Rhinolophus ferrumequinum: one gene and its partner. The protein of the gene in region 2 interacts with the protein of the main gene of each other region in a pairwise test. Links are inferred from orthologs where the notes say so. Each region holds a gene or a part of one and is shown on either strand. Other genes may lie near its edges.

Region 1 (17,086 bases), on a different chromosome or scaffold from region 2:
TTATTTTGATTCATAAAGCCCTCAGTTATGAATAAATGTAGTAAAGAATAAATGTAGCAGTTAAATATATTTCCATTCTGCAAAGGTCAGGGACTCTTTAAACCTTTTGTAGCAATGAAAATCAATTTGAAATTAACACCAGAAAAATACAAGACCTATTAATTTCTAAAATGTGCTACATATTCCAGGTCAGTATAAAGCTAATTTAAATAATTTAATTAAAAATTTTGTTAAATATACCAAGGTCATTATGTCCTGTTGTTATTAAGGTCCAAGATTAGGGTCAATTTTATATAGTTGAGAAAACTGCCCTTTTTAGCAACGAATTCAAATTCATTTGCAGTTCTTTTTAAAAGTTTCCTCCCCACGAGAGTTAATTTCTTTAGGCTTTGCAATGAGTTCATAGTCTTCAAAGATTTCGGAGCAAAACTTAGTGAATAAACTGTAAATCAGTATAATATGCCAACTATAACATTATATGCTAAATAATTTATAAAGTAAAAAACATAAATTCAATACATACTACAGTTGGAAAGATTAGGCATAAGACCTCACTACAATTAAAATATATGTTATAATCAGTAAAAATGAAGACAGAAAAGGGTCAGTTTCTTAGTCAGAACATCATATTGATGTATACTCCCAAATATTTTAAAAATCAAAGTAAATACTAATTGTTACATGATATATGTAACATGTTTACATATACTACATACATTTCCAATTCTAATATTTTAATTGTCAACACTATTATACACAGGAGTTAGAATATCCTGAAGTATGTACAAATATCTCATGTTCCAAATTTAGCAACTCTACTTTAATTATATTTTAGTGTCTTACCTGTTCGGAAATGAGATGTTGATTTATGATCTCCTATAACAAGACGACCAGTATGTTCTTTCTGTAAGGCAGAAAATGTATTAGAATTTAAGACCATTAATTTAACATAATTACTGAGTGTCTACTACGTGCCCAATACTAATCTAGGCTTCTGGGATACACTGCAGACAAAAGATTAAATTAAGATCCTCATCTTTATGGAACTTAGCACATTTTAGCAAGGATAGGGATGGGGAGGGGACGAAATCAGTTAAGTAAATTATAGTGCCTTAGAAGATTGTAAATGTTATTGAAATACACAAAAACAGAGCAGGGCAAAGAGGTAGAGAGTATATAGAGATCAAGTTGGAATTTCAAATGGGAAGGATAGAAAACTAGAAAATTAAGTGAATCTAAACATTTTCTTTCCTAAAAGGCCAGTTAAACGAGTTACTCTAACTTTTCCACCTTCTCTTTCTGATGCCTCAGGCATGTCTCATGGAGACAAAGCAAATGAGATTATTTAGCTAAATAAAAATGAAATTAAGATTTATAATGAACAAAGTGACAGCTCTTTAAAATATAAAAAATGAAAATAGTCATTACTGTTTACAACATATCACAATCAAATAGCTAACTCATTACTATTAGGTTGGTGCACAAGTAATTTTGGTTTTTGCAATTATTTTTAACCTTTTAAACTGCAATTACTTTTGTACCAACCTAATATTTGACTACAATGAACACTCAATCTCAAATTGTCAAAAAGAACACAATTTAAAACAATCTTAGTTCTATAGAACATAATAAATCTGATTCAAAGTTACCAATTGATTTGGATACATAATTAGTACTCTCAATTTATCAGTTCCAATCCACTATTTATGGTTCGTATCAGTTTCATAAGGTAAAGAAATAAACTGTTCATTAAAACAGAGTGACTTTGCAACCTTAATTATCTGTGAAGATAGTTAACAAATCATCCTATTGTGAAAGGATTACAGACACATTCTCCAAACCCAAAAATGACACTACTGAAAGCTTCAAGCATTAATGCTTATTGCCTTACATGCCATTAACATATAAGCAAATCAATGATTCAATATGCTGCTTCTTTACAATGCAGAAGACACCTCATTAAAAAGATAAGAATATATAATGGCACCAAATTATTCTAGGATGATAATAGTACTACATTGGTCTCTTCGTACCTTCCCAGCTAGTTCTCCTTGTGACCAATAAAATACTCATGTAACTGGCTAGGATTAGGATCTACTTTGTGGCCACAAAACAGAATAAATCTAATCAGCCTATATAAAAAGATCAAAGCTACAATCTTTGCCCTGCTAGCAAAGAATTTAATGTATGCTAAACAGCTAATTTATTGGTAGCCATATTTCTTTTTCGATCCTTCAATCTGTTATACCTTCTAGTTTTATTGAGATATAATTGACTATTGGTAGCTAAATTTCATACTTTTTGCATTAAGGTGTTCTTCCTAAGTAATTAAAGAGTTTTCATTACACTAGGTTGAGCATGCCCCCTAAACTATTATTTACTTTATATATTCTTAGCAAATTTTTTACCTGCATGACCCAAGACAAACTTCAGGCTACTTTCTATGATAAATTATAAATTATGGGAAATTTGGATTAATGAGGTATTATACAAATACTTCCTTTGTATAGGTCTTTATGTTTGTGCATCTCCTCTTCCTACCTCCAACCCCACTGTTGTAGTCTAACTCCTCATCCTTTCAGATTCACATCAATTGTGTTTCTGAGAAGCTTCCTTTATAGCTAAGCCATACAGCATAGCTACCCTTGTCTGCTGATCCCATAGCACTACATGCATAGCTCTTTCATAGCAATTATAATTCCATATTGTTATTATCTAGTTTCCTCCATTACATCATGGCTCCAAACTTGCATTATTGATCTATGTAAGCCCCACCCCAGTCCTAGTACAGTGCCCAGCATATATTGGTCAATAATTGCTGGTAAAATGCACAAATACATTTCTATATGAGTAACAAAAATACAAAGCAGAATTTTATTTTAAGGATCTTAAAAGAGAAAAAAGTTTTCCTACTTCTTCCACATTAGATTTGTAGGAAGACTACCGTGACAATGTTAGGAAAATAAATGTATTTGCTTATAAAAAAATAAACATCTAGAAAGCATGAGATTTGCATGTAAAAATGAACTGCTAAGAATAAGAAGGGTTTTTCCCCAATAGGCGATGTTTTCCCAACACCTCTATCTTTTATGCCTATTATGTTAATCAAACTGAAAGGGATTTCTCAAAATATGTTGAACATTTTAAATATTAGGTTTTTCATAAAGGCTATTCCCTTGGCTACTACCTCAAGGGCTGGAGTTATAAACTATGAAAGACCTACCAAATGGGTTTGCCCAGAAATACTTTGTATCAAATCATCAGGTGAACAAATGGCAAATCATAATCTTTAGCACCTTCTTTCTTCCACAGGTGTCTCCTCAAACCAAAAATTTGTTCTACATAGTCTCTAAACCTTACTGCCCAGAGGACATGAGAATCCTAAGAAATACTATAAATTTTTAAATGCTTGGTTAGGTCAGTTCTCTTTCCCAAAGCCTAAAATAATCTAGCATAACAGGAAAATAGGATCCAAGTATATTTCGTCCTTCTCATTTTATACAAAAAAGGACATTATATTCACAGAAAAGATAATAATGCATACTATCTGATGCTTACCTTTCCTGCACCCATAAGTCTCAAGAACTTTTGTTTTCTTTCTTCATTACCTAAGTCTGCTGCCTCCCAATTGCTAGAGCCAAGCTAGAAAAGAAATTAGTAAATTAATTTTGCATAATAATAAATATTAAACATTTTAAAGTCTACCAATAAATCCTAAGTTTTTTCCCTGTCACTTTTAACTATAAACAGGGCTCTCTCTTGTTTAGAAAGTTAAGCATGTGCATCACATTTGAATTAAAATATACAGCCTGTCCCCAACTTACGATGGTTCCACTTCATATTTTTCGAGTTTTCGATGGTGCAAAAATGATATCCACGCAGTATAAACTGGCCAGGCTAAACTTTGCTGTTTGGTACGTTAGGTTTGCATTTTTGATTTACAGTATTTTCAACTTACAGTGGGTTTATCAGGATGTAACCACATCGTAAGTGGGAAGAGCATCTGTACTCCTTTTCTGTTACCTCAAGGTAGAATCTTTTAGTTCTTTTGCAGCCAGACCTGTAATTCTCAAAAGTTTGCTTCTATCAGAATCACCTGGAGGGCTTGTTAGAACACAGACTACTTGTTAGAAACGCCAACAGTTTCAGATTCAGCAGGTCTGAGATGGGGCTTGTGGATTTCATATCTAACAAACAGTGAGGCTGCTGTTGATGTGGGGGACCCCACTTTGAGACTTACAGATCCAGAGCCTTACAGGGCCCTAGAGCACCTAGTACTGTGAACCCAGACAGCTGCCGTAGTTGTTAGTTGAAGTTAAAAAACTCTGGCTTTAGTGATATTCTAAAGGACAGTATGACATCAGAGACTACTGGACCCCATTTTAGTTTTTCAGTTTCTTTTTGAGCAGTTCTAGTTTTTGTAAGGATTAAATATGTTCAGACTTTCATTCTTAGAAGTCTTCCAACAAACAAAGAGAAAATTAATTTTTTGAAAAGGACAAAATAAAACTCATTCTATAATTATCAAATGGGTCAATCAATATAAAATATTGAACCCTTTTATAAATCCAAATATGGAATCCTAGTGCTATTTTTCCCTACATCTTGAGTAAATGTAAGAATTATTTCATTTTAATCCCCTACATCTTCAAACAAAGGTAAGAATTATTTCATTATAATTCATCATTTATTCCCAACTATGCTAAAAATGACTAAAATAATAAGAAAATAGAAAAATGGTAGAAGAGTTTTCTCATTGTGTTGTCCAAAGTATTGCATCATCTTTCAAGAATCACCCCTCTGTTGATTACTTCTAGCTTTCCTTGGACACAGCTGATAATTCAGAATTTTTCATTTCTACCCATAATGGCAAGTGGGTAAAAAAATTGAAAATTGACAGAAGGCATTTCTGAATAAATAGGTGAATGAAAAATGACAGATGGTATACTCTCAATTAATCATGGTGGAAAAATTGTATATGCAAAAATTTTAGACCGAGTTATTTGCAAGACGAAATACTAGATAACTTTTCTCCAATCCAGGAATCAAGACAGAAAAAAAAAGGGGGCGGGGACAAAAAAGATACATAATATTCTCATCTAGAAAGTCACTCAAAAGGAGGAAGGACTTTCTCTTGCAATATTTTGCAATAAGAGCCTGGACCATCCTCTTTTTCTCAAGATAACCCCCTTTCAACATAAAATCATGAGCTACCAAAGGTTTCAAAAAATTCAAGTAGTATTATATTTTGATGATGTAACTATAAGAACTAGAATAGCATCATAATAAAGCTAACATCTATTAAAAATAGATTTGAAATCTGAAATTATATGCATTTCACACATGACAACTGATAAATTGTTAGATGTATTCAGAGGATGCTAATCATTCTGGGATTATATATCATGAAAATGTGGGACAGAAATTTGGTTTTTATGGTTAAATTCATATAGGAATTTCTAATGGTTGTTTTTCACTATCCCTTTATTCTTACTTCTGAAAATTATTTGTAAAAGGCTAATAGAATATAAAACAATGATGACCATTTCTCCTGGGCTTAGGAGTTGTAAGTATTTGTACCATAATCAACATCCACTTATGACTCTTCTAAATTTCTTTTGGTGGGGGAGGTTATACGTTCTCATAATTTTGGCTACCTAAGTTCCAAATTTCTACTTTTTTCCATCTGACATCTTATTTCTTTTCACAGACCAGTTAATTCTTAACTATTTCTGGCTCAATATGTTAAAAAATAAGAATCAAACTACTAGTAAAGCTTAAGTTCTGATTCCCACTAAATTACCTGCTTTCTGTGAATCTGGACCTGGCATTTAACTTCTTAGTTTTAATTCGGTATCGCGATACCGAATTAAAAAGGCTTCTTTAATACCGAATTAAAAAGGCTTCTTTAAAAAGGCTTAAAGAGGCTTCTTTAAAAGACTGTCTTAATAACAACACCTAAAAATTGCCTCGTGTTTTACAACTTACAAACCGCTTTTCACTTACATTCTCTTAAGAGTCCATTTAATAAATGAGGACACTGAAGCAAGAGGCTAAGGGACTTGCTTCGATCCTCTGGCCTTAAGTCCTCTGCTTTTTCCACATCATACTGTACATGATCAAATGAGACAGAATATGTAAAAGTAGTTTATGAACTACAGTTATAAAGATATATAAAATTAAGTTAAAAATAATTGTCTAAAACCCCCAACTTTCTCAAACTCTCTATTAAGAGCAAATGTCATCAATGTCTTCACATAAATAACCCTATCATCTACAATTTATAATCTTCATGTTTTTTTCAATCATGAAGTCCTTCTGGTTCTTCCTTTCAAAGACCTTAGCATATAACAGCAGGTACCTTATCCAAGTGGTGTATTCTGAAAGGCACATGGGCACTTTCTTAAGAGGTTCTCCACCACTGACTAAAATTAACCTCCCCACTTCTCCTTAAAAGATAACTTTCATTTCTCCACTCCAATCAAACCAATAAAACTATTTTTAAGTTGTCAGCATTCTTAATACCCTTTACTATAGAACTGCAATGCATTTACTACCTCCAGTACATACTGCAGTTAAATTTCAGAATTTACTTCTAACATTGTCAGCATTTTCCTAGAGTTGGATTCCGTGATTTAATACCTACTTTTAACATCTTTAAAAATGTTTTGTTACTCCCATTTAACATGTGAAGTCAGTGGGCAAAGAAAACTTCGATTATCTTTTACATGCAGTGGATGTATGTTCATTAGAAACTGTTGATCAACTATGTATATATTATAATTAGTTGATTTTCTACAATTTAGATGTATTTTAAAATATTTTTAAATGTTTTAAAAACAACTACTTAACTATAACTCCCAATTACCAGCAAAAATAAAATTCATATGAAAAGAAACTGACTTAAACAAATCACTATGGAGGGATAGGTTACTGTATTGCACTGTAACATAAAATTAGCAAAATAATCAATTTTAGACAGTGTGTGAAGGTACTAGGTCCTGATTTGATTTGCAACTACAATCACCTCCTTCAAAGACAGTGAATGCGTTTAAGACTGGAAAAGGTCTTGAAGGTCATCTAATTTAAAGCGATCCCATCACAAGCTGTAGAGACTTAACTTTCTGTTAAATTACTTAATATCATCAAGAGCTTTCTGTCAATTTAAAAAATTACCTGAGTCTAGCAATACAGGTGACTAACATTCTAACAATCAAGTCACACTTAACTATCAGGAGGAAAACAATGTAATAGCTTTTAAAATGGGACCTAGGTTACTCAGAACCATAGATAAATTGCTGAAGTACTGGATTACTTACTATATTAACAAGAAAAGATCTAAAAGCCAGTTATAGGAACACAGAGCATGAATAAACCTTACTATATAACTGTTCACCCTCAAATCTCTTCTGATTACTACTCTTTCTGCAAAGCTAAAAGCAATTTCCTTAAAGAGCCTTACTTACTATTCTGGACCTAACCCCACCACCCACCCAAAAGGGGGTGGGTCTTAACATCACCTCATTTGCTACAACTGATGATGCACTAGTAGTATTTCAGTGAGCCTTTTACAATTCACATAAAAGGCACTGAATTGCACTGTAGAAAATAAAGAACTCTACACGTTCAGAATCAGAAGTTGACAGTTCTTTAAATAATAAACCGAAAGAAAACTAATGTTGTCCTTTCACCATCTTCAAAGATGACCTTTCCATGCTCCCCTCCCCAAAATTTCCCCATCAACGTTCCTAGAGCATTTATCCACTGTATGAAGGACCTAGTTGTATGTTTACTGGTTACTGCAGTCTTCATGACAATGCGCTAGAGCTAGGACAGATACACAAAACGGTCTAGGAAAAGCACATACTTATTCATCTTTGAATTCTCAACACCTGGCATAGCAGTAAATATTTAATTGACTACTTTAAGGAATGAATGGTTTGCTATTTAAACTGACAAGCTGAGGGATGGGGGGGGAGGGGACGGGAGGAGAAACGGGGAAAGGAGGGAGAAGGAGAGGGGAAAAGAGGGAGGAGGGGAGGAACTTGACATCAAAACGGACTTCCAGGTCTCAACGTCTAAGACCTCACGACCTTGCGCCAGTACCAAATTACTCCCCTGGTACAATTTTTTCGTTCAATACTGTTCTGGGTTTACTCCTAACTGTAACAGTTAAGTTTAATTCTTAACAGTACATCGCAAAAATAATCCCGGCCGGAAATCTCCCAAACTGCACGAACATCTTGACATTGTCACAGGAACGTTTTAAGCTTAAAACAGGGAGGGTCTTGCCGTTTCTATCGTTAGTAGAAATGCCCGACTAAGAGGCTTCATCAGCTCCCAAAGAGACAAATATGATCTCTCGACTATTCTCTTTCACTTCTCGACCATTCAGTATTTCGTTCCTCTATCTCCCATCCTACGCAGGCCTCTAGCTCTTAAGTGTGTGGACCTTTTCAAACCTTCCGACCCTAACTAAGGAAGGGAGACATTTCCCATTCCTCTAGGTCTTTTTCCCTCTCGTCCTACCTCCCTTTTCGGGCCACCTTAGGCGCTTCCTCCTTCTACATCCACCCTTCCCGGCCTACCCTAACTTTTAGTAGGCCTCAACCCTCATCCACTTCGCCATTGTTATTTACATCGTCGTCTGGGGAGGCTGAACGCTTCACCCCGTGCGGATGGGACTCCCTGGCAGCACTCATCGTCGCGGGGAACCCGACCGTAAATGCCGAACCGACTCGCCGTTCTCCTCAGCCGAGGCGTCAGCAGCTTGCTATCTGCCACCCGACCAAGCAGCGCCACTCCAGAACGCAGAGTCCCTCAGGCCTTCTCTGCCACAGTCGTCACGCCGCGGCCGCTAGCCACTCCAGAGCACTCTGGGAGTTGTAGTTTTCTGGCTCACTCCATACTGGCCTGAACAAGAGAGAAGGGTGAGTGACTAAAACTACAATTCCCAGGAAGCCCAGCGGCGCAGCTCGCTCTGTGTGGCGGGAGTGTCCTCTGAGGCTCCGCCTTTTTCGACTGGTGAAGGGAGCTTTCCCGCGGATGGGTATGGCGGTGAGCGTTGTAGCAAAGCTTTGTCACCACAAAAAGAGGCTTAGACTGGGTTTTCGCTTTTTGCTGTGAGACGCTGCACCATTGACATATGTATCCGTCATAGTTAAGCACCAAGGTTTAAATGTAACGTTTGCGGCTTAGTGAATCCTCACGAGTAACCTCCCAAGACAAAAACCTTAAAAAAAAATATGGCTTCTTCCATTTCCCCCCTGGTGTTCTCTATTGCTCATAGGACTCTTCAGTAGGGATTTCTAGATGACCGAGGGTACAGCTTTCTAGAAGATTCTAATAAGTATTTTGCTGCTTTCTCAATCTCCAAAATGAGTTCAGTATGGTGGTAAGTGCTGGTTAATTGGCTATTATTGAGATCCACCTGAGGAAATTTTGTAAGCTTTCCACCTGGCTTTGTGTGAAGTGGGAGTCACCTTACAGGCCTTGCTGCTGTTGTGTAGGCATTGTACTTTTGGGGCCTTCCCCTCTTTGCAGGAAAGCCCTGTATCCTTTTCCTTTTTAAAAATATTTACTTTTTTTTTTAACTAATTGAGGTGAAATTCACATTACATAAAATGAACCATTTTAAAGTGTACAATTAAGTGGCATTTAGTATATTTACGATGTGCAACTATCACCTCTATCTAGTTCCAAGACATGTTCATCACCCCGCCCCCCCCAAAGAACTTCAGTACCTATTATGCAGTCCTTCCCTATTCTTTCTTCTTCCCAGCAACAACTAACTAACTCAGAAAGCAGTTTCTAAAGGTATTATTTGGATACTGAAGATTTATTCAAGTATCAAGGTGTCTTAATTTTTAACCAGACCTGAACCTGGCTGCCTTCAACCCTAACATTCTGTCAGGAATCTTGTCCTTACTTCTTGTGAAGCTTTCTGAACCTTGATCAAAAATTTGATTTTGTTTTTAAAGCAAAAATCAGTAAGTGGGATGACAGTACATATCTACTGTGCGTTTTGTACTGAAAGCAGCTTGTGAAACGGCTTAACTATTAGCTTCTGAACTCAGCAATTATTCTAATTTGACTGCCTGTGTAGCAATAGGATTACTTTCCTAGATTTCAGACAATCACTGAGCCATTTATAGAACTATAGAAATGGGACCAGTGGAAGATAGTTCTTTATGCAGTCATACATCCAAATTGTGCTCCTATATTTTGGAAGCAAAGGGATAACAATTAGGATAATATGAAAAAAATCTCAGCTAGGGTCATAATTTATAACCAAATTAGGTCACCTTAATCAATTAGTTCTGTGGTAAAAATAAACCACAAGGAGAAGAGAAGCCCATGAGGAGAAAAAGTATTTTCTAGAAGTGGTTGCTTGCTCTTTACTATGAATTAAAGTATTTTGCCTAGTAACTATGATTCTATGAAGGTTATATAAATATAGTTACAATGAAATTGCAGTTAAGTTACAGAATTTTCTAGGATGGACTACAGTTTGCCTCCAAAGGGTTTGACAGACTATTACTATATACAATTTAGAACTCTTAGCTTTATTACCAATAAACAAATGAGATGCTCAACTAGAAGACTATGCTAAAAGAATTTTGAAATAAAAATGGACTATCAAGGCTAGTAGTTACTAAATAGTTTTAACTTTAATTAGTGAAAGTCTAGAACAGCTTATGAGCTAGCAACCTGTCTTTTATTTCTTCACCAGAATTACTGGCACCCGTATGGCTAAATCTTCAAGTTACAAAACAAGATCACAAGTCCAAAAGTAACATAGGAGATAATAAAGACTGGATCATTTAATCAGATTTTACTCAGTTTTATATACAGAAGACTATAGGTAAGGATGAAATTATACAGTGCAATAGAAATGCATAAATGGCATAGAAACTCAGCAATATTCTTCTTTCTGGTTTTGTAAAAACAAGAAGATGCTCTGTACCACGCAGAACTCTGAAATATTATTACCTTCACTGGGATTGGAATTGTTTCATCTTTATTTTTTTGTTTCTGTATCTTCTAACACAATGCCTGTTATGGAGTAGTTAATAACTTTTTTGAATTAATATAGGAAGTATGAAATTATCTAATGTAATAGAGTGGTATTTCATAAAAGGCCCAGAAACTCAGCAGTGTCCTTCTTTCTCGGGTAATAAAGACAAGGAGAGGAGACTATGTTGCTAACAGAACTTGGAAATACTTTCCTGAGGGTAGAGACCATGCTGTCCTCATTTTTTATATAACCAGTGCTTAGCATGTAGTAGGTATTCATAAATGTTTATTGAGTGCATATATTAATATTCTCTCAACCCTGGGTAGTCATAACTGAGCATAGTTAACAACCTAAAGGACAAATAAAAGCTCTGATGAATATGCTCAGTACAAAAACCTGCTACTGAGACTAAAAACAGTTCCTGGAGCCATAATTATAACTATTATTTAATATCCACTCTGCACCATACATTTTATTTATTTTTTAATTTATTTTTATTTTTTTGTTATAAATCATAAATTATTTATTTATTTATTTATTTATTTATTTATTTATTTATTTATTTTAGACATTTATCGTTTATATCCCTCACACAGTGACAACCCCCGGCCCCCATCCACTACCCCTCTGACATTACCCACAGCCATTACATTTCCACTGTCTCTCTTCCTAATGCTGTACTCCACTTCTTGTAACTATATATGTATATAAAATTGTAGTTGACGTTCATTATTGTTCAGCTTCAGCTTCAGGTGTAGAGTGCAGTGATCAGGCATCTACATCATCCCTGAGGTGGTCTCCCTAATGAGACCAGTATCTATCGGATACCCTACAAAATCTTTACAACATTATTGATTACATTCCCCAAATTGACTTTCGTATCCCCGTGGCAATCTTTTCACCATACATTTTGCTAGGTGCTTTTTATAATTAATCTCAAAACTTCACAGTAATTTGCAAGAATTTTTATTTTGTAGATAAAGATTAAGAAAATCATATAGATAATGAATAAATGGCTAAGCTGGGATTCATTCCTTAAGTCTGTCCAACTCCAAAAACCCATGAACTTTCCGGTGCTAATATAATTCAGCATTTGTATAGGGTGCTTAGTATGTATCAGGTAGTGTGCTAAATTTGAAGAAAACCGGAATAAATAATGTGTAATTCCTTACCTCAAGGAGTTTGTAGCCCAAGCTACAAAGTGTAAAAGAAACACTTGAAAAAGAAAAGGAAAAGAATATTTAGGAGTAGATTGAGGAAAAATAGCCTGAAATTAAAAGATACATGTGGAAGTAGAACGAGGTAAGTTAAGTGTCATTGAAGCCAAGGGGAAAATAAAGAATGTGTTGTTCCATTATGGGAGACTAAGAGATGAGACTTATTTTGAAGTTAATTTTAAAGGTATATACATTGAACTGTAGGGTCTAACAGAATCCTGAAGACAAGGTATAAAAAATAAATAAATGTGGTTGATGATGGTTGATGGTGAGAGATGAATTCTCATTTAGTCCATTGGTTGAACAGATTTCCCACCATGCTACTGTGATTTAAAATGTGGTGACATCAATATTAGTTTGATTATTTTACGCATACCTAGAAATTCACAAGAATAAAGAATTAAAAAGAAGATGAAAATGTATTTGCTTATAAAATTGCTTCAATAAAATTATTGTTGATGCATATCTTCTACTCTGGTCATAAGGTCTATACATACATAAAGCAGCAATATTCCAAAAGTTCAAAAGTTGTGAAAGAGAACTTATGAGCTTAAATCAATGGGTGATATCCTTTTTTGAAGGGAAAATTACAATTAGAACATTCTAGTTTTTCCTTCAAAATTACTTTGTTATTCTTGTCAATTATATAAGTAATATGTCAATACGAGGCTGGCTAAATAAATTATTATGGCAAATCCATATAGTGTACTCATTAAAAGAAAGAGGATCCTCAGATCTGGGACAGTCTCCAAGATATATTGTTGAACAAAAAAAGCAAATTGGGGAACACTATACATTTTATACTGTATTTGTAATCACACAAAAGAAAAGAATCAATGTATATGCATAAAATATTTCCACTAAAGATACCCAAGTCAGTGATAATATTTGTAGACTCCAGGCTTGGGGTGGTGGCATCTGGGATCTGAGGTACACTGGTAGCAGGGGGACTTTTCACCATACTTTTTATATCTTTTGAATTTTAAATTATCTGACAATATTAACCTATTACAAATTAATCATAAATGAATACATAAAAGTAAATTGGATTTTAAAAAGCTTAGAGTCACAAAGATAAACAGACTCACACAAAGATAAAACAAACCCATTGTAAAAAATGTGGAAAATAAAGTATAAAGAAGAAATAAAAATCACTTATAGTGTTATAGTTCTGAGGTAACCACCATTAACATCGAAGTGTAATTCCTTTTAGTTTCTTTTTTCTAGTGATTTGGAGGATATACATTTAGTTTTTAATACTATTAATGGTTACATTTTAGTTTTTACTCCACTCAAGAGTAAAACAATATCTCAGTGTCTCATGACTCCTTATACGGTGTGGGTGAAGAATTGAGCACCTTTACTTTTGCCCTATTTTCCCCTTCCTCATTCCAGTATAATATAATTTAGGTACAGATCATTGTTATTGCATTAATTTTTACATTACATGTATTTTCCAACAATAATATTTTGGCATGTGCCTTCAAGCTTTCTAAATAACAGCTTTATTGAGATACAATTCACATACCACATAATTCACCTATTTAAAGTGCACGATTAAATGTTTTTGTTTGTTTGTTTCTGTTTTGTTTGTTTATTTTGTTCTTTAGATTCCACATATAAGCGAAATCTCATTGCATCTTCTTTCACTGTCTGATACTCCTCCACTCAACACAATTCCCTCCAGGTCCATCCATGCTGCTGCAGATGGCAAGAACCCATTCCCTTCCCTGGCTGAGCAATATTCCATTATATATATATGTATCACCTGCCCTTTATCCATTCTTCCATTGAAAGACACCCAGGGTGCCTCCACATTTTGGCCATTGTAAACAATGCTGCAATGAACATATGAATGCACACGTCCCCCAGAAGTAGCGTTTGGGTTTCTTCAGATAAATATCCTGAAGTGGGATTACTGGGTCTGTTTTGTCTCTTGGTATAGCCTTTGTTTTAAAGCCTATTTTGTCTGGTATAAGAATTGATACCCCAGCTTTTTTTTGTTTTGTTTTTTTCATTTCTATTTTCATGAAATATCTTTTTCCATCCTTTCACACTCCATCTGTGTTTGTCTTTCAATCTGAAATGAGTCTCTTGTAGGTAGCGTATGTGAGTGTCTTGTTTACTTATCCATTCACCATCCTATGTCTTTTGAGTGGAGCATTTAATCCATTTACATTTAAAGTAAGTGTTGATAGATATGTAGCTATTGCCATTTTATTATTCATAATTTTGATCTTTTAAATTTTTTCCATCTTGAAGTCCCTCTAACATTCCTTGTAATACTGGTTTGGTGACGATAAACTTTAGCTTTTTCTTGTTTGGGAAGCTCTTTATCTGTCCTTTGATTCTAAGTAATAGCTTTGCTGGGTAGACTAATCTTGATTGTAGGTCCTTGCTTTTCATCACATTAAATGTTTTGTGCCAACCCCTTCTGGCCTATAAAATTTCTGTTGAGAAATCAGCTGACAATCTTTTGGGAGCTCCACTTTTTCTGGAGTTTTCTTCTTTCATTTGGGATGTATTTCTTCATTTCCTCATTTTGGCTGCCTCTCTGTTTGTTTCTATGTATTAGGTAGATCTGCTATGTCCCCCAGTCTTGGCTGGTGTCCTTATGTAGTAGGTGCCCTGTGGGGCCCAGTGGCACCCTCTCCCTGGTCACCTGCACTGGGTGCTCCAAGAGTGTCCCTTTTGTGTGTTGTATGTATCCTCCTGTTATAGTTGAGCCTTGGTTGCTCTTGGCACATTAATGGGTCGGATTATTGATCCACAGGCTGATTGGCTGTGGGGTTTGGCCCTGTCCACAGCTTACAGGCTGCTGTGTCTGGGGAGGGGCTTATCCCACTGAGTGCGATTTGCCCCATCAGGCTCTGGTGTCTGTTAAGACTGCCCTTTGGTTGTGCTCCTTGTGGGACTAATTGGGCAGTGCTCTGCTGTGGTCTGACGCCAATCTCCAAGTATGTTGGTTCTGGGGCCTCTTGTGAGGGGCTCCTTGGCAGGCCCAGGTCACCCACTGCCTGGGACTGGCCAGCTACAAAGTGATCTGAGGTTGTTCACTGCCGTGCTAACCCTGGAAGCTCATGGGAGAGGTCATGCTGCAAACTGAGGATGTCTTCCTCTAGTACTGGGCCTGGGGTAGCTCCTCAAAAAGTCAGGACAGCCTAAGGCCTGCTGCCACCTGCCCACTCCCTTAAGGTTCAGCCACTGATAAAGCCTCATGCGGTATGTAAGTTGGGTGATGCAGGGTCTCAGGGAGTCACTAGAGTGGGAAGAGTTGTTACCATGTTAATGTAAACTCTGGTTTGGTGCCAGTGCTGAGCCTGAAGCTACTAAGCAAAAGTCTCAGAGCACACCTAGGTCAGTTGCCACCCATCTGGGGTCTGTTGGACTCTGACAGTTTTCCAAGAAAGAGTGCAATTTGGATGGGGCTGGCTGCTCTTGGATAAAGTGCCTCTGACATTGGATGGGCTGGGGTTCCAGTGAGTCAGCAGGGCAGAGCTGCAGAGCTCAACAGACCAATCAGATTCAGATTTGGCTGTAAGTGTAGGGGGAGGGCTCAATACAAGAAAGATGGCACCAGCCTGCTGGCTGCATGGGAGAAGGACCCCTTACAGCGAAAATGCCAGCTGTCCTTCAGCCTTCATCTCAAAGCCACACAACTCAGTCTGCTTCCCCTCTCATCCCCCGCAGGTCTCCGACACTCTCTGAGTTACTGTCCCTCTGCTGGAGCCCAAGGTGAGTGCCTGGTAGTGAGGGCGTCTGTGCATGGGCCCTTTAAGAGGATGCCTGGGTTTCCTGCCGCCTTCTGTCCCACCCGGATAGTTGGAATCTCCACTGCTTTCCACAGTCAGATGTTGTGGGGCCTCCTCTTCCCAGCACCAGTACTCTGGGCTGGGGAGGCTGGTGTGGGGTTGGGGTCTCTTCCTCCTTTGGGGGAACCTCAGGGGCCAAGATATCCCTACTGGTTCTGAACCGCCACATGGAGTTTGGGTTAGCGAGTTCCACATCTCCGCCCCTCCTACCAGTCTCAACGTGGCTTCTTTATATCCTTAGTTACAAAACTTCTGTTTAGCCAGACTTCAAATGATTCTCCAGGTTGATTGTTGTATAATTTTAATTTGTTCACTGAAGGAAGCAGGCACAGTGTTTATCGCGCCCTCTTAAATCTCCTAAATGTTTCTTAATGTAGTCAAAGAGTTGTACAACCATCACCACAATCAATTTTATAGCATTTTTATCACCTCAAAAAGAAACCCTGTATCCATCAGCAGTCACTCCCTATTTTCTTCCCTCTCATCCAGGCTTAGGCAGCCACTAATCTTTCTGTCTCTCTAGATTTGCCTATTCTAGCCATTTTATACAAGTGGAATTATACAATATGTGATCTTTTGTGACTGGTTTCTTTCACTTAGCATACTGTTTTCAAGGTTAATTCATGTTGTAGCATGTATTAATACTTTATTTCTTTTCATGGCTAAGGTTCCATTGTATAGATATACCACATTTTGTTTATTCATTCTTCACTTCATGGGCATTTGGGTTGTTGCTACTTTTTGGCTATTATGCATAATGCTGCTATAAACATTTGTGTACAAGCTTTTGTGTGAACATGTTTTCAGTTCTCCTGGGTATATATCCAGGAGTGGAATTGCTGGGTCGTGTGAGTACTCCATGGTTAACTTTTTGAGGAATTATCAGACTGTTTTCCAAAGTTTCTGCATCATTTTACATTCTCACCAGCAATGTATGAAGGGGCCAATTTTTCCACATTCTGGCCAACTGTTGTTATTATCCATCTTTTTGGTTATAAGTATCCCAGTGGATGTGAATTACTCATAATTCCCTCAGTTTA
Region 2 (16,268 bases):
GCCAATGTGCATATTAAAAGATGTTCAACATCACTAATCATCAGAGAAGTGTAAATCAAAACCACAATGAGATATCACCTCATTCCCATTAGGATGGCCACTACTGAAAAAGAAAAAAATGTGGAGAAATTGGAACTCTGTGCACTATTGGTAGAATTGTAAAACAGTGCAACCACTATGGAAAACAGTATGGCAGCTCCTCAAAAACTTAAAACTAGAACTATCATATGATCCAGCAATCTTACTTCTTGGTATATGCCCCAAAAAATTGAAAGCAAGTTCTCAAATGGATATTAGCACACCCATATTCATAGCAGCACTATTCTCAATAGTCAAAAAGTAAAGCAACTTAAATGTCCATTGATGGATGAATGGATAAACAAAATATGGTATAGACATACAATTGAATATTACTCGCCTTAAAAAAGAACAAAATCCTGTCACATGTTGCAACCTGGATGAACCGTGAGGACATTATGCTAAGTGAAATCAACCCGTCACAAAAAGACAAATACTGTATTAGTCCACTTATATGAAATATCTAAAGTAATCAAAGCCATAGGAATAGAGAGTAGAATGGTAGTTATCAGGAGCTGGGGTAAGGGGGGAAGGGGAAGTTGTCATTTAATGGGTATAGAGTTTCAGATTTCAAGATAAAAAAGTTCTGGAAATCTGCTTTATGAAAATGTAAATATACTTAATACTACTGAACTGTCCATTTAAGAAAAGTTAAGATGATTTAAAAGGAAAATAAAAATTCACATCTACATTTCCATGTACATTATTATTACAATAATTTGTATAGACTGGAAATATTTGGAGTAGAAACCTAAATATATAGTACAGTAAATAGATTTCACAGCCTTCAAAAATGTGTTACTGAAAGGATGAAATACCTCCTGACTCCAGACACCCAACCCCAGCTTCTGCCAGAGAAACCTAGTGGGACAACAACTGCCTCTTAACTTACAAATTAATTGCATTCTTACAAACTATAAGAAGTTTTGTGATAAATTGTATATTCTACTACAAAAATGAAGAAGCCTATACCAAGACCTGGTTCATACAAAGATGAGCCACAGGAGAAACAGCAGACAAAACTCGAGTTTTTCTCTCAAAAGGTACTGTCACATGAAGGGCTGTTTCATAGAGTTAAATTTGTCCTAAACATGAAAACTTAACAGTTGTTACTCCTTTGAAATAAAGTTTCCATGGAATATCATATTTACATAACATTTAAATGAATTATGGTAAAAACTTTCTTAACTGGCCTTCACTTAAAAGATTCACCAGATAAAATAATAGTCTCCATTTCAGAAAATGAAACCAGTGAGATTTAAACAATATTTATTTAATAATAATTTATAATATCTCCACAAACCTTTGCTTCTGACACTTGAGTTATATGCTTATTCAAAATCACTGTGGTATATTGCCAAATCTGTCATAGAGTTGCATTATATAATTACAAATTTTGGTAATAAATTACATAAATGATAAAATACAAATATAGAAAAGGACCTCAGTTATTATATAAAAAGTATGTTGAAGTCATTGGAAAAACTCAAAGTAAATGAATCATTTAAAAATGCCTTAGACTAAAAAAATTAGACTTAGAGGAAATAACTATAAAGAAAAGTGTAAAGAATCTAGGAAGATTCATAACTCCAAATGCTTCACAAACAAGAGAGAACCTGAAACTACAAATATAGTCAACATATTGAGACATGCTTCAAGTAAGAAAGATAGTGCATGAAATTTAATCAGATCATTTAAGTTCCATTTATAAAATTATATCATAAAATATTTATTCTAATTATAAGAAATCTTCAACTTATTTTATGTAATAAAAATTAACATTTTTAACACTCTAGTAAAAATTAAAATATTGTGAGTGACATCAGTCATAGACACCATAGACTCATTGAGCCTAACAGACATACAGACCATTCCACACAACTCATCCTTCTCAAGTACATATGGCACATTCTCAAGGATAGAGGATAGATTACATGCTAGGTCATAAAACAACTCTAAGAAGATTGAAATTACTCCAACTGTCTTTTCCACTCACAATGGAATGAAACTAAAAATTGATAATAGGAAGAAAATGGGAAAATACACAAATACATGGAAATGAAACAATACACTTTTAAACAAATATTGGGTCAAAGGAAAAATCCAAAGAAAATTAGAACTTATCTTAAGCAAACAAAAATGAAGCACAACAAACCAAAACTTAAGGATACAACAAAAGCAATACTCCAAGGGAAATTTATGGCAATAAATGCTTATGATATAAAAGAAGAAAGATATCAAATAAACAGGCTAACTTTACACCTCAAGAAATTAGAAAATGAAGAGCAAACTAAACCCAAAATAAGCAGAAGGAAGAAGAGCATGAAGATTATAGCAAAAATAAATAAAATAGGGAAAGAAAACTAATTTTAAAAATTGATAAAACTAAGAATTGTTTTCTGAAAAGATAAACAAAATCGACAAACCCTTAGTTACACTAAGAAAGAAGTTATTCACAAAATAACATAAGAAATGAAAGAGAAGATATTACAACTATTCTCACAGAAATAGAAAAGAGCATAAGAAACTATTAAAACAATTATAAGCCAATACATTGGACAACCTATAAGAAATGGAGAAATTTCTAGAGACACAACCTACTAAGACTGAATCATGAAGAAATAGGCTGAACAGATGAATAAGGAGATTAAAGGAGTAATCCAAAACCTCCAAACAAAGAAAAGCCCAGAGCCAGATGGCTTCATGGGTAAATTCTACTAAACATTTAAAGAAGAATTAATACCAATTCTTTTTAAACTCTTCTAAAAAACAGAAGCAGAAGGAACACTTCTAAACTCATTTTACGAATTTAGCCACACAGCCACATCCTGATATCCAAGTCAGAAAAAGTCATCACAAGAAAAGAAAACTACAGGCCAATATATCTGATGAACATAGATGCAAAAATTCTATATAAAAAAAAAGAAAATTACTAACATAGTGAATTGAACACCATAATCAAGTTGGATTTATCCCTGGTATGTGAGGTTCATTCAACATACACAAATCAATCAATGTAACACACCACATTAACAGAATGAAAAATAAAAGATCACATGATAATCTCAATGGGTGCAGAAAAAGCATTTAACAAAATTCAAAACACTTTTGCGTTGAAAACTCTTAATAAATTAGGTATATAAGAAACTTACTCCAACACTAAAAAAAAAAAAAAAACTTATGAAAAGCCCACAGCTAACATCATACTCAGTAAAAATCTGAAAACTCCCTTCTAAAACCCACAAAAATACAAGGATATCTACTCTCTACTCTACTATTCAACATAGTGGTCACAGTCCTAGCCAGAACAGTTAAGCAAGAAAAAGAAGTAAAAGGCACCATATTAGAAAGGAAGAAATAAAATTATCTCTGTTTACAGATGTTATGATCATATATATATATATATATAACTACACACACACACACACACACACACAAACAATTATTGAAACTAATAAAAAAATTCAGTAAGGTTGTGGGATATAAAAATCAGTGTGCTTCTATACACTAAAAACAACCTATCTGAAAGAAAATTAAGAAAACAATTCCACTTACAATGGCACCAAAAAGAATAAAATACTTAGGAATAAATTTAACCAAGGAGGTGGAAGATCTATATACTGAGCTACAAAACATTGATAAAATAAACTTTAAAAACACAAATAAATGGAAGGACACGCTGTGTTCAAGGATTGCGACTATTAATATTGTTAAAATGTCCATATTTCCCAAAGCGATCTATAAATTTAATGTAACCCCTATCAAAATCCCAATAGTAGCATTTTTTGAAGAAATAGAAAAATTAATCCTAAAATTCACTGGGGACTACAAAAGACCCCAAATAGTCAAAATAATTGTGAACAAGGAAAACAAAGCTTGTGGTATTATACTGCCTGATTTAAAAACATATTACAAAACTATAGTAATCAAAATAGTATGGCACTGGCATAAAATAGGACATAGAGACTAATAGAACAGAATAGAGAGCCCAGAAAATAACCCCTCCATATATGGTCAACCGATCTTCAACAGGAGTGCCAAGAATACACAATGGAGAAAAGATAATCTCTTCAATAAATGGTGTTGGGAAAACTGGATTTACACATGTGTTAACCTTAAAAATAAAAAGTGGCAGGCAACAAGTATTTATCTGAGATCAAAAAATAGCTATTCAGGAAGCACTGTTTCAGGCAGAAACCTAGTGTTCTGATTATGGGGTGAAGGCAAAGGGGGTTTATTTTTAAAAGAAAGAAAATAATTACACAAGTAGAAGAAAGGAATTTCTATTGATGCTAATAAGCTAAGTTGTTCTTTAGCTATATATGGCTATTCACTAATTCTAGAGAATGTTTATAATTAGCCCTCGTAGTCAGGTAGTCTGCTTTCCTGTTAGCTTTACAAACAGTTGTTTGGAAGACAATGCTCTAGCCCAGTCAAAAGGTTATTTTGCCCACTTTAAACATTCCAAATGTTCCAGGAGTAAAACATATAATGCAGTTCCTCTGGAATATCTGCCCAACTCCATTTTAAAATTGCTCCACTTATGCCAACTTTTCACATATGCAAAAGAATGAAATTAAACCCTTATCTCACACTACATACAAAAATCAGCTCAAAATGATTTAAAGATTTAACTTTAAAACCTGAAACAATACAACTCTTAGAAGAAAACAAAGGGGAAAAGCTTGCAAACATTTGACTGGGCAATGATTTCCCAGATATGACACCAAAAGCACAGACATCAAAGACAAAAATAGACAAATGGGATTACATCAAACTAAAAAGTAACTGCACAGCAAAAGAAACAATTAACAAAGTGAAAAGGCAACCTATGGAATGAGAGAATGTATTTGCTCATTATATATCTGAAAAGGGGTTAATATATAAAATATGTAAGTAACTCATATAGCTCAAAAGCAAAACAAACAAACAAACAAAAAACCAATAACCTGACTTTAAAATGTGCAAAGGATCTGAATAGATATGTCTCAAAAGAAGACATACATATATATATGAAAAGGTGCTCAGCATCACTAATCCTCAAGGATTAGTCATGTTGATAGAAGGTAACTGGCAGTCATTTAGAAAGGCAACGTGACAATAGCTATAAAAAGTTTTAAATGCATATACTCTTTGACATAGCAAATTCACAGTACAGTTTCATTACACAAAAATAATTTTACATGTCCAAAAGTATGTGTATGGAAGAACAGTCATTGAATGCTATTGTTTGTAGTAAACTGTTTTAAGTCAGGCACTAATTCCTCTGTATCACAAGGCAGAATCCAGTAAAATAGATTTTGTGTGAATATCAGTATACTTTAGAAAACTAAAGGACCAAATGGATTTTAATTTAAAAGATAAAACACTGAACTCTTTGATAATTTTGAGAAACTATGGCAAGCATATTGTTTGAATAGAAATAATCTGAGGGTTTGTTATGCTTTTTATCTCTGTACATTCAAATATTTTTCTCATTTAAGATTTTAAAAGGGGATTAATGAGATAGCACAAATGAGAACACTCTGATCTTTGAGCACATCTCTGGGGATACCTATTTGCCTTTATCTCAGGCAGAGATAAAGCAAATACACTCTCTGATAGAGTAAATATCCAATGCCATTAACCAAGCTTTTTGGTTTTGATGGTGATTAATATATAACCAGCTGAAATGTCTGAAATATCCCTCATTATCATTACCATTAGGAACTACACCAGCCTAAACCTTCTCTTTTCTCAGCCAAAGAGAACGAAATGTAACAATTGGTGCTCTTGGAGATGATCCATTCAGTTTCTGGCAAGCTCTACAACAGTACAAGGGAAAATATTTTTTTCCATTTATTTTTATTAAGGCCCATATACCTCCTACTCCTATTTTTTTCTCAATTTCCTAAGAATCCTCCTTTGCTCTTAATGGCGTGTGTTTTCCTGCCTTTTGTTCCCTTACTTTGTTTTCCGTGAACTTCCTTTCTACTTTTCTCTTCCTTTTCTCTCTTACCCGTTCACCTTAACTTTCTAACAGTAAATTTTTGCTAAATCCTTCAAAGTTGTACAGATCTTGTCCAATTCGTGTCTCCTCTTTTCTGTCAAGGACTTGTTTACTCAGGTAACATAACTTTATTGATTTGGATGCCGTCGTATACCAAGGCCCAGACCAGGTATGAAATAGAGCTCTTCCTCACTCATAAAGATTCAAAATATATTAATTTTCACCAATAGTCAGGTGTACAGTTTTAAAAGCTCTGTTACATCTAGCATCGTGTGTAAAACCACCCCATGAAGGTGATAATACACATATTATTATCCCCTTACTTTTTGGCAAGAGGCTCAGAGCAGTTAACCAGTCAAGTTACCCAGGCTAAGAACCAGGACTCAGGTGTCCCGACACCTGATCCAGTCATTTTTTCCCCTCCAGCTCATTTTCCTTCTTCCCAAAAAGAGTAAGCTCTATCCTGGTGAAAGGAGCACTTCAGATCTAACGTTTATCTTTATCTATGATTATATTGAAATGGTGTCACTTCTCCTGAGGATAACTCCTCCATCCACTTTATTAATACATCCACCTCACTCATCCTCAAAGTCCTTTCTCTTGGGATTGTCGCTTCTCACTCCACAATGTCCAACCTGTCCCCTTTCATTTGATCCTCCCACTCAGCATTTATAGAAGCAACACTTCATTTAAACTTGTTCAATTCTCTCTCCTCTTAAAGAAACCTCCCTCTCAGCTCAACATCTCTGCCCTATCGTTCTCCTCCCCTTCAGACAAATTCTGGGACATTGGTTCCAGGTCTTCACAAGCTGCAATCACGTGTCTGTCCTACAGACACTGAAACAGCTGGGTTCCAATGTGCTTCTTGTCTCTAAATCCAGCAGAATAATGGTCATTCAACCTGTTATTTGATTTCACAGTAGCATTTGAGATGACTAGACAGGGATTTAAGCCATAACAATCTTTACTGATCATCATTGTAATTTATGACAAGGAACCAAATGAATGTTATTAATGTTATTGGTCCACCTCCTACTTTAAGTAACTAATCTTACGAATAAGTGTTTAGTTATGTCTAGATTCTTAAGAACAATTGAAGTTCTATTTTGAATTAACACATTATAAAATCATGCATACTTTTGAAATGATTTTTTTTTTATTTTATGTGGTATTAACATTGATGTCTTGGCATAAAGCCCCAATCACTCTGACTAGTAAAAATCTTTTCCTAACTATTCTTTTCTTAAAATTGTCCCTTCTTTGGGACAGAGTTCCCACCCTTTCCTGGTTGTTTCTCTCTCTCTCTCTGTCTATCCCTATCTCTATCTCTATTTCTATCTCTCCCTTCTTGTTCCATTTCTGTGCCCCTGCCCATCACTTAGACACTGGTGTTTCTTAAGGTGCTATCCTGGGCTCTTTCTCTTTTTATCAGCATATGCTATGTCAGTATTATCATCTATTTTCATGGCATCAGCTTTCCCAATAAGCTGATAAATCTTTAATCTGTATAAGTAGGCCAGATCTCAGTAAACTGGTGGTGTTCAGATTGCTTTCACTTTAACCTACAATAACAAAGGTTGTTCATTAGTTCACAATGTAATACTGTGATCACATTTTCACAAAGTATATATTTTTTACATTGTAACCTAGGACAGTCACAGTTAAGGATAAAGATGATCAGATAGAGATAGTAATAAAGAAAGAGAAATGATACTAGTTAGGATACAAGTTTTACTGCTCTAATAAATAGATCTCGAAATGCAATAGCTTAAATAAGAAGTATTTTTCCTTAAGTGAAAGTATAGGCTACAATGGCCTTTGGATGATTTAGGGACTCAGACTGTGTCATGCATGATATTCTGCCTTTCTCATCACATGGCTTCCATCTTATGTAGACCATACAATAGAAGCTCTGACTACAGTGATCATGTCTACATTCCAGCCAGCGGTCAGGAAGAGGGAGTAGCACAGAATCTAACCCATCCTTTGTAAGTCATGAACTGAAGGCGGCCTACATCACTTCCACTCACACTCCACTCACCAGGACTTAGTCATACGCAATACTGACTTCCAGAAAGAAATGAATGTTTTTAGCTAGACAGTGCCTAGCTTAAACTCAGGAGCTATAGCATGAAAGATACAATTGGAGAAGGGGCAATAGAACACAACCAACAGTTTCTGCTGAAACTATGTGCAACAGATGTTTCCAAACTCACTGTTTCTGTTTGATACACTATATTTTCTATTTTATTATATTATATTTTTTTATTTGCATCCCTTGATTTATTCCTTTATTGTTTAGTGTCCCATTGCCAACTTAAACTTTGAATAAAAGTTGACATTTCTGCAGTGTGCAAGGTGAAAGAATTGCAGGAATGCAGTGAAAACATTAAACAATTAAAACATCATAATATGTAAGAGGGTAATTTTAAACGTTTGATGAAAACTCATTTTCTGCTTGAATTTGAATAGAAAAATTAATTGCCCCACTATTTTTTTCGTAAAACCTTGGTCATGACTCACTAATCATGATATCATAACTCACTATGGACGGTGACCTATATTTGAAAAACATTGCTCTAAACCTACTATGTCAAATATAGTAATCAGTAGCCACATGAGCAACTGAAAACTTGAAATGTGTCTAATCTAAATTGATAGGTGCTGTAAGCGCAGAATCCATACCAGATTACAAAGACGTAGTACAAAAAAAAAATGTAAAGTATCTCATTAACAATTTTTACATTGATTAAATGTTGAAATTATAATATTTTAGATATACTGAGCTACATAAAGTACATTATTAAAATTAATCTGTTTCTTTTTGTTTTTTAATGTGACTACCAGAAAATGTAAATTTACATAGGTGACTCATATTTATTTTTATTAGACCTCACTGCTGTAAGCTCTAAATGCAAATGTTAAACTCTCAATGAATATTAATACTTGTATCCCACTAGCACTTTCTAAAACTAAACTCTTTATCTTTCTAACCCTCAGCTCTCTGTCCTCCTCCTGTTCCCATCCTGTGTTTCCTGTTTCACTCAGTTAAAAGCAACACAATTCATTCAGTAACCAGACAGGAAAATTGAAAGGCACGTTATCCTTTATCCATCACATTCATATATTCAGTGGATACTATAATTTTACCTCTTAAATATGATATACATCAACCTCTTTCCAAACTCATTATGAATACCCTAGTTCAAAACACCATCGTCTCTCACCTACATAACTGCCATTCCATCTCCATGATTTTGCATGATACTGTCCCTACCAGGTACAATAAATACTTATAGAACAACCAAATAGATGGATGATTGAATGGATGGATGAAACAGTTTATATGACTAAAGATTGGTAAGGACCAGCATATTTAGAAGTCAGTAACAAAAATGGTTTATATAGTAGATGGTAAAGGCAACTGGGATCCCTGTTAGGCACAGTAGGTCAAAGCTTATTTATGAGGTCTGTCTACTTCTCCTTCCCTCTTCTCACTTTCTTAATACAGGAAAATGTTTTCAATTATCATTTTTCCAGGGCCTAGCTCTTCACCTGCAATCCAGTAATATCCCTAAAGTCTAAAATTTATTAGTCTAATCCAGTATCATTTCCATAGAGGATTACTGAATTCTGAAACCACTTCAACATTTACGGTAGGCTACTGACTTGCAGTAAAAAATCTATTTTGAGCCTGTCCAGTATTGCTTAAATTGTAGCTTCCCTTACTAACTATTCATGCAAGAGATGTGAGAAAAGGCATAAAAGATTTTGTGGAGGGGAGAGTAAGAGAGAAAAAGGTTTGAAAAGCTGATCAGCTGCATTATAGTAAAACCCAGAGAAAGTGAGCATTTATGGGATATGGATTTTATCCCTCCAGGAATTCTATTTAGCTGGCTGGGAATTAACCTTGACTGTAATTAGGCCCCTGAGAGCAATGACCCTTCCAAAAAGTTTAGAGACTTCTCCTTTGTTTAGACACATTGTGGGGGTGGAACTTCCTGCTTGCTCAGAGAGCAATATAAAACCCAGTTGCTTATAAAACCCCTCTGAAGAATGCTTCAAACCAGACCTACTGCAGGGAGTAGGGTACAATACAGTCTGGTCTCCTCTGGCCCCTTCACCCTGCAGCATGGGGAAGGACAAACTCCTTCATCCAAGTCTTATTCTCCTCCTTCTGATCTTTTTGCCTACAGATGCATCAGTCTCTGGAAAACCGTGAGTTTCACATAGAGCATAAACTTAGAGTCCTTTCTTTATTTTTTGCTGCTATGAATTGGAATACTCTGTGCAGCAACCACTTTATATATCTGTTATAAACTCCTGCTTGATTCATTAATATGCAGTTTTAAGTGTTAAAAAAAAGAGTCCTTTCCTCTATTTCAGGTTCTCCTCGGTATTATTCATTTCTCTTTCCTATAATACTATCAATTTCTTATCTCTAAGGTCTCTTCCAATAATGAGATTTCATAAGTCTGGTTTATTCATTTTTCACTTATTCTTAACCATTTTTTTTCCAATTCTCTGGATCTCTGAATTTCTAAATTCTCTGGGGATACAGAAGGACTATCTAAGGAAAATTGGAAATTAATATGTTTAAAGGAATGAATTTTTAGTTCCTCACATTCATATTAACCTGCTTGAGGCCATGCTATTTATTTTTTCTTACCTCCCCTTACTTAATTGCCCACCTTTCACTTAATAAAAGAAAGACAGACCTCTCCCTCAATCAGATATCACCATGGAGCATTGTCTTGGAGTATAAAAATCTTTAGGGTGCCAAAGAAAGGAACAATTTGAAATATTGACATTGATGTTGAGAAAGCAAAGGATTCTAAGGATGGGGGAGAAAATCCTTTTGCAGATCATTTGGTGACAAGTTCTTTGTTTCAACAAAATTGATGGAAGATCTAAAGGAAATACCAGCTCATAGATAATTAGAAGTCATTCTTGATAATAGGGCACTGGGTGATTTTTGGCATGTGATGCAGAGGTGTTACAAGAACTGATAATAATGATATAACTGCTTTATCTGTCATTTATTTACTTTTATGTTAATAATTTTTCATGTCACTTACATCTACACAAACCAAAAATAGCAACAGAATTAATGTTAGGCTTTGTTTAATTCTTACAATAAGGACTATCCATCCATGGATATATAAAAACAGCTCATCATTTTTTAAAAGTGTGCTTCAAAAGTATTCTGATTTTATATCTAATACGTATGAATTATAATTTGTCATATATTTATTTTGTTTTGATCAGTTGTATATGAGTAAGACTTTTGAAAATAATTCAATCCAGAAGAAAATGTTCAACATTTATAATGTTATGGTCACATTAAATTTAAGAGTTAAAATTAAATTTATATACCCACATATAATATTATATATATATATATATGTACATTTATGTATATACTTGTTATTAAAGGAAGAGTGATCCATAAAGTATTTTGAAGCATAAAAATCTTAGTATAAACTTCTGTGTGGTTAGTGGCATGAAAATTTAAGTTTAAGGAGAAAAAAAAAGAAAAGATGTTAAATTACTGATCATTATGAAAAGAATATGTTGATGTATTTTAAAAAATAATTTATATTGGATATCATATCACTATGATATTTAAAATTCCCTGGGAAACTTATACAAGAGTAATACAAGTTTTAACTTAAAATAGCATCATAAATAATATCTTTTGCTATTATTTATACTTGTGATAGAAAAAATAGATGTCTCCTTAAAATATGTAAGGAATACATACTGTCTAAAAATTATTTTGAGAGTTCTGTGAGCAAAAATGTTTGAAAACTACAGGTCAAAAAAATTATATATGAGGGTACTGGGAAAGTTTCTGATTTGCTCATGAGTTATCAAGACCCAAAATTCAATCACTAGAAGGCCATTTTTGAGTGGAACTATTGTCTAGTCATGAGTTGAAAGGCAAATATTTAAAATGTAAACATCAGGGTTAGGTAACACACTAAGGTTTCAGTAGTTGCTTGTCACAACTGAGACTTTAAACTAATGTCTCACTTGCTTTAAGCCTCAGATTGCACATCTGTAAAGTGGAAAACAAGTACTTGCCATACCATTTTCACAGGGCTATTGAATATATAAATATACTCAATGAAAGTTCTGCAAATTGATTGGTTTCTGTAGTGTCCCACCTGAAAGCTTGTTTGCTTTTTACACGAATCCCAATGTAAAATAGATTTACAATATATAATTAGCATATTTTTAATTTGAGTTCAGATGCTTACATTTTTGGGGTTCCTTACAGTAAGGTATACCTACAAATTTTAACCTATGTAAGGCTTACTTCAAGCAAAATGTTCGCTGCCATGGTACTCATGATGAACTGGGGAATAATTCTCATATGTGCCATTCAAAAACAAAGATTAATTTTATCCTCATCAATGTCTTCTCTTGGTATAGAACTAATGAGAGTAACAATAATTTTGAAGGAAAGCAGTGCTGTTGATAACAATGCCTTTCCTCCTACACTCTCCTCTGACTGGACTCCCCCATTTCCAGACAGTATATGGTGCTTGTCCCCTCTCTGCTCCACACTGAGACCCCTGAGAAGGGCTGTGTCCTTCTGAGCCATCTGAATGAGACGGTGACAGTAAGAGCTTCCTTGGAATCTCTCAGGGAGAATAGGAGTCTCTTCACTGACCTGGTGGCCGAGAAGGACTTATTCCACTGTGTCTCCTTCACTGTGAGTATGACTGACTTAATATACTTAGTTCTATTGGTCAGGGTCCTAGAGATCGAGAGTTCAGCCAAGACAAGGCTTTCAGAGGCTGTCAGGGACTCCAGGAAGGAATCTAAATGTAGCAACTAACTGTAGAAATTAAGAAGCAATGCATAAATTTCCAACCATGGGAAGCAAATACTTACAGCATATTAAAAATCAACTTAGAAATTAATAAAGAAAAACTATTATGTAGTCACACAATGGAATATTACTAAACAGCATAAATGAATAAACTACTAATGCACACACACACACACAAAATCAACTTAATGATCAAAGAAAATTCCTACTAGCCAGTAAAAGAAGCAATATGCACTAGACAAAGGGAAAATGTGACTTCTCCTTAAAATTAAAATGGGAAGATATTAATAAAACAAATTATGCCAATACTCAACATGAGCCTCAGTGGTGGGCTGACAGGAATACATCACCCCATACTCTCTAAGAGAGAAAGTTGTAGAAATTATGATGATCCAACAACTCTTCAGTGTTACTCATATGTAAAATGCTTATAACCTGCAGCAATAAAATATTGTGATTTTCTTTCTCATAACTTTAAAATATGCTTCTACCATGCACTTTTATCACATTCCAACTTGGGAAAGTTCAGTATGTAATTGAACTGAGACTGTATTGGCTGATCTATAAGGTGATGTGAGTCTCACTTATGATTTTTCTGATCTTACTGATCTATTTTCCTTCATCTTGTGTTCTCTCTTCCCATTTGTAAAATGACAGAAGTAACTCCTTTCCATGCCAATTTTCCCTGGTAAGAATGAGGGAGAGAGGTTAAGTAGGAGCGGCAAGATCTACAGGGAAGAGTGGAACAGGGTGGGAAGGGAACGTGGAAGACTGAATGGATTCTCAGAATCTCTCCTGGGACCTGTATTTCAGGTACCAAGATCTTCATCCAATGAAGAGGTAATGTTCCTCACTGTCCAAGTGAAAGGACCAACCCAAGAATTCAAGAGGCGGACCACAGTGTTGGTTAAAAACCATGAGAGCCTGGTCTTTGTCCAGACAGACAAACCCATCTACAAACCAGGGCAGACAGGTAAAAGGAGGCCTACAGTTAGGACTACTTCAACAAGGAAAGATCTTCTTCTCCTGCCTATTCCCCAGTCAAAAGCCCTGTAATCCTTGTTCCATAATAATTTGTCTTACCAACCTAGTTTAAGATTTCTGGGACTCATGGAAAATATTTCTGTTTCAGTGAAGTTTCGTGTTGTATCGCTGGATGAAAATTTTCACCCCCTGAATGAGTTGGTGAGTCCCTAATATCTATATAGAATCATTATTATCTGTATAAACAGGCTGGAAACCTGTTTCTGGCATTGGGGGAGGACCAGATAGAAGAAGAATCTGGTATTGATAACAGTACTTTCTGGCATTACAATACTGCAAGATACTCATTTAAAACAGTATCACAGCAATAAAGTAGTCAATCCTCTCTATCTTGGTACTGGTACTTAGTTGTCACCCAATTAAATGTACTCTTTGGAAAGTTCTCAATTAGGCAAATTAGAAAGATATTTTGAGCAATAGGCACACTAAACCATCAAACTATCAAATAACTTAAGTTCAAGTAACTTTTCAAAGATATAGAATTTTGCAAAACACACCTACCAAAACCTCTTCTATAAAGGAAGATGAGTGAAATGAATGTTTGTTTCTGCGGACTAACACTTGATATTTATGATAAGAAACAACTCTTTCAATTTCAATGGCTATATCTAACCAAAGTTTTAATTTTTCTTTTCCAAATCTATTCCTCCACTACATTTTCCTCTCTTAAAAAGGGGCAATATTTTTCTTCTGGCTCCTAAAACAAAAGATTATGGCATAGTCCTCACTTGTTCTCTTTCTCTCACTCCCACATCCACATCGTCAGAAAATCATGTTAGATTAAAATGTATCCAGACTATTTCTTACCACCTGCATACCACAGCCTCGTCCTGGGCAATATCCCCTCTTAAGAGGCTATTGCAATAGTCTTGCAACTGGTCTCCTGGTTTCTACTTTCACTCCTCTATCTAAAAATCAAGCACTTCATTGTTCACTCTATCAGCTTAATCCTGCTTTATGTTATCTTGGTATTTACCCACTACCTGATAGATATAGATATATAGATACAGATGAAAATGGATATCAAATACATAGATATCTCAAACACAAATCAACTTATATATCTCAAATAAATATACATCAAATATACATATCTCATGTATATTTCAAAGATGTGTGTATACATATATATACCTACATGTATATTTCTTATGTATCCATTCCTATTAGAATGTAAACTCCATAAAAGCAGATGTATTATTCTTTTGTTCATTGTTATATTCTCAGCGCCTAAAATGATACACAGCAAATGGCAGGCACTCAATAAACAAATACTAATTTTTAAAAATTAATAAACATTGATAATAGAGGAGCTATTCCCTCCTTATTCTTGGAATTACCTAAGAATTCTGTGATACATCTTAATATTTGGGTCTGAACACGGTTACTTATAGTTCCGTTAGTGTTTATTTCTCAATCTGTAGAATTTCATAGCAAAGGAGTGTTCTTCACTGGGATGCTGTAAGCAATGAAATAATGTTAGTAAATCCCATTCCTAATGAATGGCAGAACACATATGCATTTGTTGCTCTGAGCCTAGAAAGTTCTTAACATTATGTGTTAATTGCTTATAATAGATTAATAAAAAGTTGTGTAAAACTTAACCTGGAATTTGTGTGTGCGTGTGTGTGTTTTACTACAGATAGAGTTATTCTCCGTAAAGCTGTCTCGCTTATAAATCAGAACTGAGAATATTTGAGAACAATTCTAAACTCCTTCCTTTCTCTTCTGTCTTTCAGATTCCACTAGTATACATAGAGGTAAGCAAAATGAAACATTCCATAAGTTGATGTAAAGTAATACATTTAAGGAAAATGTTCTTATTTGAGTGGTTCTTACAATATTCCAGAAACTTGTCCTTAAAGGAGAAGCTTTCAAACTCATATAGTGCTAAATGGTTCTACTCATCTCCCCTCCCCACCACTCATCACCATCTCGTTTTTCCTCATTGTGGATGATATAAGAGTTTCCATAGATTTCCTTTATTTTCTTTAATGCTCTAGGCTCTTTTGTAAGTTACAATTAATGTATCCATAGGACCCCAAAGGAAACCGCATCACACAATGGCAGAAACTCAAGTTAGAGAGTGGCCTCAATCAATTGACCTTTCCCCTCTCATCAGAGCCATTTCAGGGCTCCTATAATGTGGTGGTACAGAAGGAATCAGGTGGAAGGACAGAGCACCCCTTCACCGTGGAGGAATTTGGTATGGATTATAAAATATGATGGACGATTTTTCTTTGTAGTTAAACATCTGAGGCCTAGAATTTGAACTTATTTGGAGTCCTTTCATTTCCCATGGGTGAAATTAAGTTT

What was found.
Region 1: the proteins of A2M (region 2) and C11H11orf58 interact in a two-hybrid assay, tested with the Homo sapiens proteins (2 studies listed by BioGRID and IntAct). The link is inferred for Rhinolophus ferrumequinum from reciprocal best matches to the Homo sapiens genes A2M and C11orf58.

Annotation. Positions count from the first base shown.
Region 1 is NC_046294.1:36,838,586-36,855,671, forward strand, and holds the start of C11H11orf58 (small acidic protein), read right to left. Parts: upstream 8,850-17,086; 5' UTR 8,703-8,849; coding exon 8,640-8,702; intron 4,061-8,639; exon of another isoform or gene 4,004-4,060; coding exon of another isoform or gene 3,959-4,003; intron 3,643-3,958; coding exon 3,559-3,642; intron 905-3,558; coding exon 844-904; intron 1-843.
Region 2 is NC_046293.1:25,190,944-25,207,211, reverse strand, and holds the start of A2M (alpha-2-macroglobulin), read left to right. Parts: upstream 1-10,113; 5' UTR 10,114-10,199; coding exon 10,200-10,285; intron 10,286-12,604; coding exon 12,605-12,788; intron 12,789-13,721; coding exon 13,722-13,881; intron 13,882-14,040; coding exon 14,041-14,093; intron 14,094-15,691; coding exon 15,692-15,712; intron 15,713-15,989; coding exon 15,990-16,158; intron 16,159-16,268. UniProt on the Homo sapiens protein: Is able to inhibit all four classes of proteinases by a unique 'trapping' mechanism. This protein has a peptide stretch, called the 'bait region' which contains specific cleavage sites for different proteinases.